Canis lupus familiaris: one gene and its partner. The protein of the gene in region 1 purifies or fractionates together with the protein of each later gene. This does not show direct contact. Links are inferred from orthologs where the notes say so. Each region holds a gene or a part of one and is shown on either strand. Other genes may lie near its edges.

Region 1 (5,250 bases):
ATTTATTTATTCAAGAGAGACACATGGAGAGAGGCAGAGACACAGGCAGAGAAGCAGGCTCCCTGCGGGGAAGCCCCATGCAGGACTCAATCCCAGGATCACCACCTGAGCCAAAGGCAGATGCTCAAACACTGAGCTACTCAGGTGCCCTCCCTCCCTCCTTCCCTTCCTTCCTCCCTCCCTTCCTGGTAGAGGTAGAAATGGTGGTACTTTTCCCTTTTGGAGATTTGCTGGTTACATTTCAAATAGGAAAGATGTTCCCAATGCCTGGAATAAGGAGTTAATTTTACATTGCAGATGCCCCAGGCACAGAACATGGCCTGTTGAGTTGGTAATTGACAAGGAATGATAGGCCCTGAGAGCTCCCCATGCTGACCCCAAACTAGGTTTCCTTTTATTAATTTTTCAGGAGAGCCACAGTTAAAAATTAAACTATAAATTTATAATTAAATCATTAAAAACAAAGACAACAAATATTCAATATAACCACTTCCTAATTATTTTACTGCCATATATGCTCTTGAGGTTATTTGTTTATTCTACATGTATTGTGGAAGTAATTGTGTGATATTGTGTGTCTCTACCTGTGTTCAGTGATGTCACTATCAGGAGTTTGAAGTCTGCTGTGATGGCAGTATACACATCACAGATGTTGTCAACCACTACAAATCAGGGCTTTTTAAATTTGGCTGTTAAACATTTATTAGTATACCACTGCGTTCTATTGTCCCATCTTTTAAAGATCATGAAATTGAGGACTAGAGACGTTAAGTGATTTGCCTACAGCCATACTGCTAGGAAGTGGTAAAGCTGGGATTCAATCCCAGGTTTTTGTTTGTTTGCTTCCTTTTTAAAAGAAAAATATATTTCCAAAGCCCACATGTCTTCCATTCAGCTCCTCTTCCCTGAGGTAGGAATGTTCAAGCTGGGTAGGCGTCTCAAGGTTAACCACTAATCTGGCTTCTAAACATCACACAACCTTTTAATACTGGTATACCTAGGGCCATGTTGGGTCAAGTATTCTATATAGTATTATCATTTGCTCCCTTTGGCATGGGGATAGCGTCAAGAATCTGGTCAATTATCTTGACTTTCTTCCCATCCCTGTGGAACAATGAAAAGAAACTTGAATTCCTATCCCAGCACTACCGTCCAACCCTGTGACCTCGAAAATTCATCTTTCCTCTCTTAAATTTCAGCAATCTACTCTATAAAATATGGACAAACACAATCCATTTGAAGGGTTGCTCTAGGGAGTAAATGAAATCTCACTCTCAAAGCACCTAATACAGTGTACCCTGTGTATAGTAATATAACCCAACTGCTATTAATTTTATTGTGTACAGGCATGGTGTGAGGGTTTTATATGTTTTCTCCATTATAACTGTGGCCATAGAGAATTCTTTGATTTTCTTCATCTGCTCTTTCTCTCAGTCTTCCACAGTTCAGTAGTCAAATGCACCACCATTTACCTAAAGATTTAGATTCCAAATCTAGGTGTTTTCTTTTCTTCCCAGCAAATGCTCTTGCTTCTATCTGAAACATTTCTCTTATCCCATCCCTTCTGGAAAGCCACCCCTAATTTCTCAATTCTGAGGGATTATAACCAGGAGTACTTCATTCCAGCTGCCATCACTCTACTAAAATTACTGGCTTATTTCTGTCTGGATCATTCACCGCTGTGTCCCCAGCATCTAAGCAGTGCCCGGAATAGGTAGGTAGTTGATAAGCATTTTTTGAATAAAGGTATGAAAGGGCAAGGATTATGTTATCAATTTACAGGTGGTAAGGCTGTGGCTCCTACGAGGAGGTATTTTGCTTTGGGTCAGGCATTAAATTGCAGACGGGAGATTTAAAACCAGGGCTCCAGAAACACCCTCCCCAGGTCCCGCGCAGGTTCCTAGTCCGCGCTTGCGTTGGCTCCTACCTACTAGCTCCGCCTACTTGAGCCGGCGCCGTCTCCGTCACTAGTTTGACCCTCGGGCGGCCGCCGTAGCGCGTCGCCTCCGTTGCTGTGGGAAACGACCCCGGACCCGGGAGAGAGGAAAGACGTTTCCCGCCGGCGGGAGCTGCGTTTGTGGTGGCGGGGCTCGCAGCTGTGCCGCACGATGGCGGACCAGCTTTATCTGGAAAATATAGACGAGTTCGTCACGGACCAGAACAAGATCGTGAGGAGCTAGGACTGGGGAATGTGGGCAGGAGACTGGAGTCCTGAGGGCGGCAGGGGCCTTGACCCCTCTGCGCTTGGCCTGGTGGGGACTGGCCGAGGGGCGACGGGTCCCCACGTCTGGTGCCCCAGGGCTCGCGAGGGCTCACGGGGGCTCGCAGGGGGAATTCCTCTGGCGCGCGCTAGTCCGCGTCGCTTGGGTTGGGCGTGCCGGGTGCTGTGCAAGGAGCAGAGGCCAAGAACAGGCGTGGAGGGAAGGGCCCTGGTAGATAACAATTCTGAGGTGTTTCTGCGTCTGTCCGATGAGGTGAAATGGTTTAAAGCCCCAAGTTGACTGTTGAAGAATTGTGCCGTGATTGGGTTAGGTGACTAGTTGTTTCACCTTTCAACCGTCAGTTTCCTCCGCTAGGAAATTTGGTATTCGTAGGCTTGACCAGCCCCCTCAGGGTTGGAATGAAAGATTGAGAAGATGAATGCGAGTGGACTTTACAACCGTGACGATTGAATGCCTGCTGTGAGCCTGGGATGTACAGTATTGCATTTAATCTTTACAGCGACCCCAAAGGGCGCCGGACGTATCCCTATACTTGAAGCAGAGGAACCACATTACTTACTTGTAGTTAGTGAAGGATAGGCAGTTTTCCAACCTAGATCTGTCTCTTTTACTAATGCTTTCGCCTCACCTATGTTCTTAATTATTGGAAACTCGGCATTTAGAATTGGAAGACTTCTAAGAGGTGAGGAGCATCCAAGGAAGTGACATTTGACAAGAGAGTTCAAGGAAGGATGGAAGGAAGACCAAGGCTTGATGCCAGTGGATTCCAGTCTAACCCCAAATACAGCATTCGTCCACTTCTTTTTTTTTTTTTAATATTTTGTTTTATTATTTATTAGAGAGAGAGGCAGAGACACAGGCAGAGAGAGAAGCAGGCTCCATGCAGGGAGCCCCACATAGGATTCGATCCCAGGTCTCCAGGATCAGGCCCTGGGCTGAAGGCGGCGCTAAACCGCTGCGCCAACCCGGGCTGCCCCCATCCACTTCTTTAATTCCCTGGCCCCTGCACCACCTGTGCCTGCTAATGTTTGCATTAGCAAACAGGCACGGCTGCAGCTTTTCCTTAGACGTTTATGTCATACACTGCAAAGTAATCTAGCTTCTGGGTGAATTTTAATAGTTATCAGTGGTGGCCACAAAAAAGGACAGTGTGAATAAAGGGTAAAACAAAGAATGTGAGGAAAATGCGAGCTTTTTCTTTGTATGTATATTCAGCCTTTCATTTTAGACTTTTGTATTAATTAGCCTGTGAAACAGACTTTTTAGTGTAAGATAAATATCTCAGTCCTACCTACCCAGATGGACTGTTCTTGGCAAAACTAGGGTGGCATCCGCTGTAATTTATAAGGCACAATCATCTGAGAGTAGGAATCTTTAGGAGCCCCTGGGACTAACCTGCACGCTGGAATCATTTAATGTTAATGTCATTAATGTTTTTTAACACTTAAAAACCAACTCCTTCTTCTTGCAGGTGACATACAAATGGCTGAGCTATACACTAGGGGTTCATGTTAACCAGGCCAAACAGTAAGTACAATTTACTACGATTTTTATTCACACTGGAGTTGTGTGTGTGTGTGTTTTGTTTGTTTTGTTTTGCTTTGTTTTAAGCTTTGCAGATAGCCTTGAGGTTAGAAATTTTTTTTTCGGGATCCCTGGGTGGTGCAGCGGTTTGGCGCCTGCCTTTGGCCCAGGGCGGGATCATGGAGACCTGGAATCGAATCCCACGTCGGGCTCCCGGTGCATGGAGCCTGCTTCTCCCTCTGCCTGTGTCTCTGCCTCTCTTTCTCTCTCTGTGTGTGTGACTATCATAAATAAAATTAAAAAAAAAAAAAAAAAAGAATTTTTTTTTCCCCTGGAAAATAGGAAAGAATACTATTTTTACTACCTTTCACTAAATTTGTATTTATTTAGGAGATAGGTGGACTTATATACAAATATGTGGTTGTATATTTGCTGGATTTATTAGTAGCCTTGGCCTCTGGTTAACATCATTTTGTTACTTCAAATTTATTAAACGGGCTACTTCTCAGATTTTGTATGCTTGTCATCTTGTATCTTCGTTACATTTTCACATGTGCTCCTTAGGCCCACATCTGGGTGTTAGTGAAGTACTTTCATAATGAGGTCAACAGGTGTACTGGGGAGGACTATTTAAATGAACTAAAATGGGAGTGTTCAGGATGATGCAGAGCATTGCCTTTCTTGAACTTTTGCTTTATCACCTTTGCTTGCTGAAACTTGTAGTTCAACTTGAGGCCAAAAGGGAAAAGGCAAGCTTTTGAATTAACTTCCAAAATTTCTTAAAAATCTTGTCTCTATCCCAAGAGGAGGAATTGGTAAATAGGCTGAGAGCATATATATTGAGTTAAATACTCATTTAGTTCAATTTATTCCTAAAGTGGTCTGATTTTTTTTTTTCCCCAATTTTTTGAGTCATGGGAGCTTTCTTTGAGTCAGGCAATGTTCCATGAATCTTAGAAAATTCCTGATAACTAGAATCGGTTGATTTGGCTTTATGTGGGCTACTTTTGACAGACCTAGAATCTGGCTTTGGCTATGATTATGCCTTCAAGACCTGAAACTCTTGGCCTAGGGATGAATTTGGACTGACCTTTATCTGAGATTTTCTGTTGCTAATGGCAGTGCTGGCCCAGACCCAAGGGTTTCAGGTAACTTTCAGAACGGACATATATGACTAATTGTTATGTTTATAGATATTTATGAAATAACTATTATTATATAAGCCTGTTGGGGCTTAAAGGTGCATATTGAGGGCTGGAGATGAAATAAAGTTGCCTGCGATTTTATAGTAGTTACTTTGCTTGTAATTTTTATAGAATTAACACACTGTCTAGCCCCTGTCTCTCAACCAACTTCATCCCATGCCTCTCTCTACCTTACTTAAACTGTAGCCATATTCATCTTTTTGTCCGTCAAATATGCCAGGCTCATTCTGACTTAGAACATTTGAACCATTCCCTCTGGAATGCTCTTCTCCCAGCTGTTCTCATCCTTCAAGTTTTAG
Region 2 (5,250 bases), on another chromosome or scaffold:
AAATACACGTGCATGGAGCTTTTCTTTGTCCTCAACCAGACAAAGTCTTTTCCTTTTCTGAATCCTACTCATTACAATTTAGGTCATACTTTATGTACAGACCAGAGTCACACTGTTCCTCTTTGGTCCTTCTTACCCCGATCTGATATTGTAACTTTCTGCCAACAGCAAATGCTCACTTGATAGCATTACCACACATCTCCCATTCTCTTCTCGCCCATTACCTTTAAAAAAAAAAATTGTTCGTGCGTTTAACCATTTACACAATAAATATTCATTAAGCAACTACTGTTATTAGAGCTCTTCATAAGGTTGACTTGGTTAATCATGTTCGAATGTTTTTTTATGCCTACTTTTTTTCCCCTGCTTATTCACTGAGTTACCAACAAAGTTGTGTTAACACCTGCAACTATGATTGTGGATTATTTCCCTTTTTGCTTCTACTAATCTACGCTTTATGTAATTTAAAGCTATATTACTACTTTTAGGATCATTATGTGTTTTTATTTAATAGATCATTTTATCATTATAAAATGTTAACCTTTTTTCCAGTAAAACTTCTTCCCTTAAAATCTTTAGTCTGATACAACAGCTTTCTGTTTTTGTTTGGATGATATATGTCTTTTTCCACCCTTTTGCGCTTAACATATGTGTGTCTTTATCTTTTTTTTTTCTAATGCAATTTTATTTTTTTATTCATGAGAGACACAGAGAGAGAGAGAGAGAGAGGCAGAGACATAGGCAGAGGGAGAAGCAGGGTCCATGCAAGGAGCCCGACGCGGGACTCGATCCTGGGTCTCCAGGATCACACCCCGGGCTGAAGGCAGCGCCAAACCACTGGGCGACGGGGGCTGCCCTGTGTGTCTTTATCTTAAGCACATCTCTTTCCATCTAGTATGTCAGTTCATGTTTAATTAACGCTTAATCCATTTACATTTAATATAATTACTGATAACCGTCTTTATGCCTAACTTTTTTGCGGGGCTTTGTTCCTTTATTCCTCCATTCTCTTTTATTAGTTAATTATTTCTGTTGTACCATTTTATATTTAGTAGCCACTGTCTTCTATCCTAACTGTGGTGAAAAACACATTACATAAAATTTACCATCTTAACTACTTCTAAGTGTACAGTTCTGGAGTGTTTAGTATATTCACATGGTTCTGAAAACCATCACCTTATATTATCCTTAAAAACACCATCTTTCATATTTCCAAGCATGTTTTAACATATTTCCCATCCAACCTCTACCACCTTTTATCCTCTTTTGTGCACACATTTCAAGAGCTATAACTGGGGCAAGACCAGTCGTCACACCGGGTGTGTCTTAGGGAATTTCAGGCATCTTCTAGACTCAACTAGCCATAATCTGGGGGCTCCTACTGCTCCATTTTGCTAGTGAAGCATGCCCTCACTCATGCTGGCTGGTTCTACCAGCTCAGCTAGATATTCTGGGAGGGCAGCACCACAGCACCTGAACAGAGAACCAAATCTGAAGTCTCAAAAGGAAGATATGGGTCTTAATTTTTTTCTAAATTTTTGCTTCTAAATATGTAACTTAAACCAGTTACTTAGCCTCTCTGAAGAGGCTTTATGTCCATATTTATAAAATGTCCATATGTCCATATTTATAAAAATGAAGACAACACACATTGTACATAAACAGGGCTGTTGTGAAGATCGAATTAAATAATAAAACTTTATTATTAAGCCTTTAGCTGTGAAGAACTGTAAAAATATACGGTAATCATTATTATCTGCATTGCAGTTAAAGTTTGCAATGAGGAAAAACAGGTGTTTGGTTTTTATATTACAGGTTAATTCACAGCAGTGTAAATCAGTAAAAAGCATTTTTAAACTACTCAGCTAAGAATCAAGTTTATGCAAAGAATACCTCTACGAGATCCTTTCTTGGTCTCAACTTTAACAGAGGTTCACTGAGACGGATGGAACACATTCCACCCCTCCCTTCATAGCTGCATAGCCCAGCACACCTGGAAAACAACCACCACAAAAGCATTATTTACCTAAAACACACAAAAGAGAAACAGAAAGGAGAAGAATAAATCCTTATACATTCTTGGGCAGTTCACACTAGTATACCTTTTTTGTTAGGAGATATCTTCAGATCACCCCAGTGAGAGAGAGGTGTGAAGAGAACTGCATCCCTTGCCCTAGCCAGGTTGCAAGAGGCCAAAGACAATCCTGTTCTGCGGCTCCCAGTCTCCTCCCTTCAAACTATAATCAGTTTGTGGTAGTTAACAGCCAGATCTCCATCGGCGCATCTCCGAAAGCGTAAGAGAAGCCTTTACGAAGGAGATTTGTCCTTTTAACCAGTTTTATGTCCTATCTTAATCTGTCTTAGTTTAGGCTGTTTTGTATTACTTCAAAGACAAGCACCGTGGTGTACAACCATATTAAAGCTGTTAACTCCGTTCATGAGCCGGAACAGATTACTTCAAATCAGGAATTCTCTACTTTAGTGAACATCCTTTTAGAGGCATCCCCGAAGATCCTTTCGGTCCAGAAATACGGAAACGTCAGCCCCGTCCCCCTCCTAACACCTGAGCTCACTACCAAGTGGTGACATCTCAAAGGGCACAGAAGAGGACAACACACATCTCTGGGAGGCTTCGCTGCCTCCTCGGCATTCTTTCTTAGGGGCTGACTCTGGGTGCTTCTCCCTCCTGGGTCAGAAACGTGTTAATTTATTTTCAAGTGAGGGGAGATCCAAAGACATCCTTTTCTCTCCCGGTGTCCTTTACAAATCAATCGGCTACCGGAATGGGCCACACAGCTAGCTTTCTTAAAGTTGTTGGAGAGGGAGGGAGACTAGGGGAGGGAGAGGGACAGCGAGAGGAGCTGCTGGTGTCCACCACGAGACCCCCAGGTTTCACGCCCCCCGGGACCGGGGGCTGCAGAGGAGCTGCCAGCCGCTCTCGCTTCCCCAGCGGGGCTCGGGACTCACAGGGTCATTCGCAGGCTCCACTTCACCTCGACGGCCTCCAGCTGGCCCCAGAAGAACCGATCGTTGAACTGCACAAACAGGGCCTGCAAGTCCGGGGTTGGGTCCACCAGCTCCCAGGACGCGTCCACCAGCGACAGGGGCGCCTGGGCCCGGTCGCGCTCCGATCCCTGCAAGTTCCACTCCTCCTGAAGCCGCAGTGCCAACACCAGATCCTCGTCCATCTCTGCCGGGATCCCAGGCGGCGTCCGAAGGCGTTAAGCAGGCTCCACGGATCCCAGGCTCCGAGAGCCTGGTCGAGCTCCTAAGAAGTACCGGCTCTCGGGCGGCTCTCGGGCCGGCCCGCCGATCTCGCGAGAACTCAGGAATAACTGGCTCTAGAACGAGAACTGAGTTTGCCCCAAACGCCGAGGCCAAGATTCTGGGGCTTAAAAAAGAGAACTCTGCAGGATACCTCCTAGTGGGCTCAAAACGGGGGCTCCCAGGGCCTGGACTCTAGGAAGGCGTCAGGAGACTGGCTACCGCCTTTACGCTCCGCCGCTCACTTCAAACACAAACGTCACGCCCGGCCCATGCGCAGTACCGCGTCTCGCCGCCTCGCCCTCCACTCTCTTCCGCAATAGCGCCTCCGGCGCATGGGCTCTAGGCCGCGGGCGCCCCTGCGCATGCGCGCTGCCTGCGCCCGGCCCCCTGCGCAGGCGCGGTGCCCGAAGCTCAGGCTCGGGCGCAGGCGTACTCGTCTCTCTTCCATCCTGCTTCCTCAGCCCCGGAGCTCGGCGGGGCTTGGGTGGGTCTCGACAGCGGCGGCACCGGCGGCGGCGGTAGTGACAGTGGCTTCGTGAGCCTCGGACGGAAATGGCGATGGCGATGTCGGACAGTGGGGCGAGCCGCCTGCGGCGGCAGCTGGAGTCGGGGGGCTTCGAGGCGCGGCTGTACGTGAAGCAGCTCTCGCAGCAGTCGGACGGCGACCGGGACTTGCAGGAGCACCGGCAGCGCATCCAGGCGCTGGCGGAGGAGACGGCGCAGAACCTGAAGCGCAACGTCTACCAGAACTACCGGCAGTTCATAGAGACGGCCCGCGAGATCTCCTACCTGGAGAGCGAGATGTATCAGCTCAGCCACCTGCTGACCGAGCAGAAGAGCAGCCTGGAGAGCATCCCGCTCACCCTGCTGCCGGCCGCCGCCGCCGCCGCCGCCGGGGCTGCCGCGGCCTCGGGCGGGGAGGAGGGAGGCGGCGGCGCGGGGGGCCGAGACCACCTGCGGGGCCAGGCTGGCTTTTTTCCCGCTCCCGGGGGCGCCTCCCGCGACAGTTCGGGTCCGGGCGAGGAAGGGAAGCAGCGCACCCTCACCACCTTGCTTGAGAAGGTGGAAGGCTGCAGGCACCTGCTGGAGACGCCGGGGCAGTACCTGGTGTACAACGGGGACCTGGTGGAATACGAGGCTGACCACATGGCGCAACTGCAGCGGGTGCACGGCTTTCTCATGAACGACTGCTTGCTGGTGGCCACCTGGCTGCCACAGCGGCGGGGGATGTATCGCTACAACGCCCTCTATCCCCTGGACGGTTTGGCCGTGGTCAATGTCAAGGACAACCCGCCCATGAAGGACATGTTCAAGCTGTTGATGTTTCCCGAGAGCCGTATTTTCCAGGCGGAGAATGCTAAAATCAAACGGGAGTGGCTGGAAGTGCTGGAGGAAACCAAGAGGGCCCTCAGTGAAAAGCGGCGAAGGGAGCAGGAAGAGGCAGCGGCCCCTCGCGGACCACCGCAGGTGACTTCCAAAGCCGGGAACCCATTTGAGGATGAGGAAGAGGACGAACCAGCTACTCCTGAGGTAGAAGAGGAGAAGGTGGATCTCTCAGTGGAGTGGATCCAGGAGTTGCCCGAAGACCTGGATGTCTGTATCGCGCAGAGGGACTTTGAAGGAGCCGTTGACCTGCTGGACAAATTGAACCACTACCTAGAAGATAAGCCCAGTCCACCTCCTGTTAAAGAACTAAGGGCCAAAGTGGATGAGCGGGTCCGACAGCTCACCGAGGTGCTAGTTTTCGAACTGTCCCCGGATCGTTCCCTGAGAGGCGGTCCCAAGGCGACTCGAAGGGCAGTTTCTCAACTCATCCGCCTTGGCCAGTGCACAAAGGCTTGTGAGCTGTTTTTGAGAAACAGGGCAGCAGCTGTGCATACTGCAATACGTCAGCTTCGTATCGAAGGCGCCACTTTACTCTACATTCATAAGCTCTGCCACGTGTTCTTTACCAGCCTTCTTGAGACTGCGAGGGAATTTGAG

The links. Proteins that work in one complex are often made in the same cells at the same time.
Region 2: the proteins of POLD3 (region 1) and SPRTN purify together in Homo sapiens (affinity purification with mass spectrometry; 3 studies listed by BioGRID, with this or other methods). This does not show direct contact. The link is inferred for Canis lupus familiaris from reciprocal best matches to the Homo sapiens genes POLD3 and SPRTN.

The regions. Positions count from the first base shown.
Region 1 is NC_049242.1:23,913,620-23,918,869, reverse strand, and holds the start of POLD3 (DNA polymerase delta subunit 3), read left to right. Parts: upstream 1-2,013; 5' UTR 2,014-2,108; coding exon 2,109-2,168; intron 2,169-2,338; exon of another isoform or gene 2,339-2,532; intron 2,533-2,783; exon of another isoform or gene 2,784-2,904; intron 2,905-3,693; coding exon 3,694-3,749; intron 3,750-5,250. UniProt on the Homo sapiens protein: Accessory component of both the DNA polymerase delta complex and the DNA polymerase zeta complex.
Region 2 is NC_049225.1:8,509,056-8,514,305, forward strand, and holds the start of SPRTN (DNA-dependent metalloprotease SPRTN), read right to left. Parts: upstream 3,586-5,250; 5' UTR 3,189-3,585; coding exon 2,968-3,188; intron 2,954-2,967; exon of another isoform or gene 2,103-2,953; intron 1,994-2,102; coding exon 1,894-1,993; intron 1-1,893. Other genes in the region: EXOC8 (exocyst complex component 8), read left to right, coding at 3,820-5,250. UniProt on the Homo sapiens protein: DNA-dependent metalloendopeptidase that mediates the proteolytic cleavage of covalent DNA-protein cross-links (DPCs) during DNA synthesis, thereby playing a key role in maintaining genomic integrity.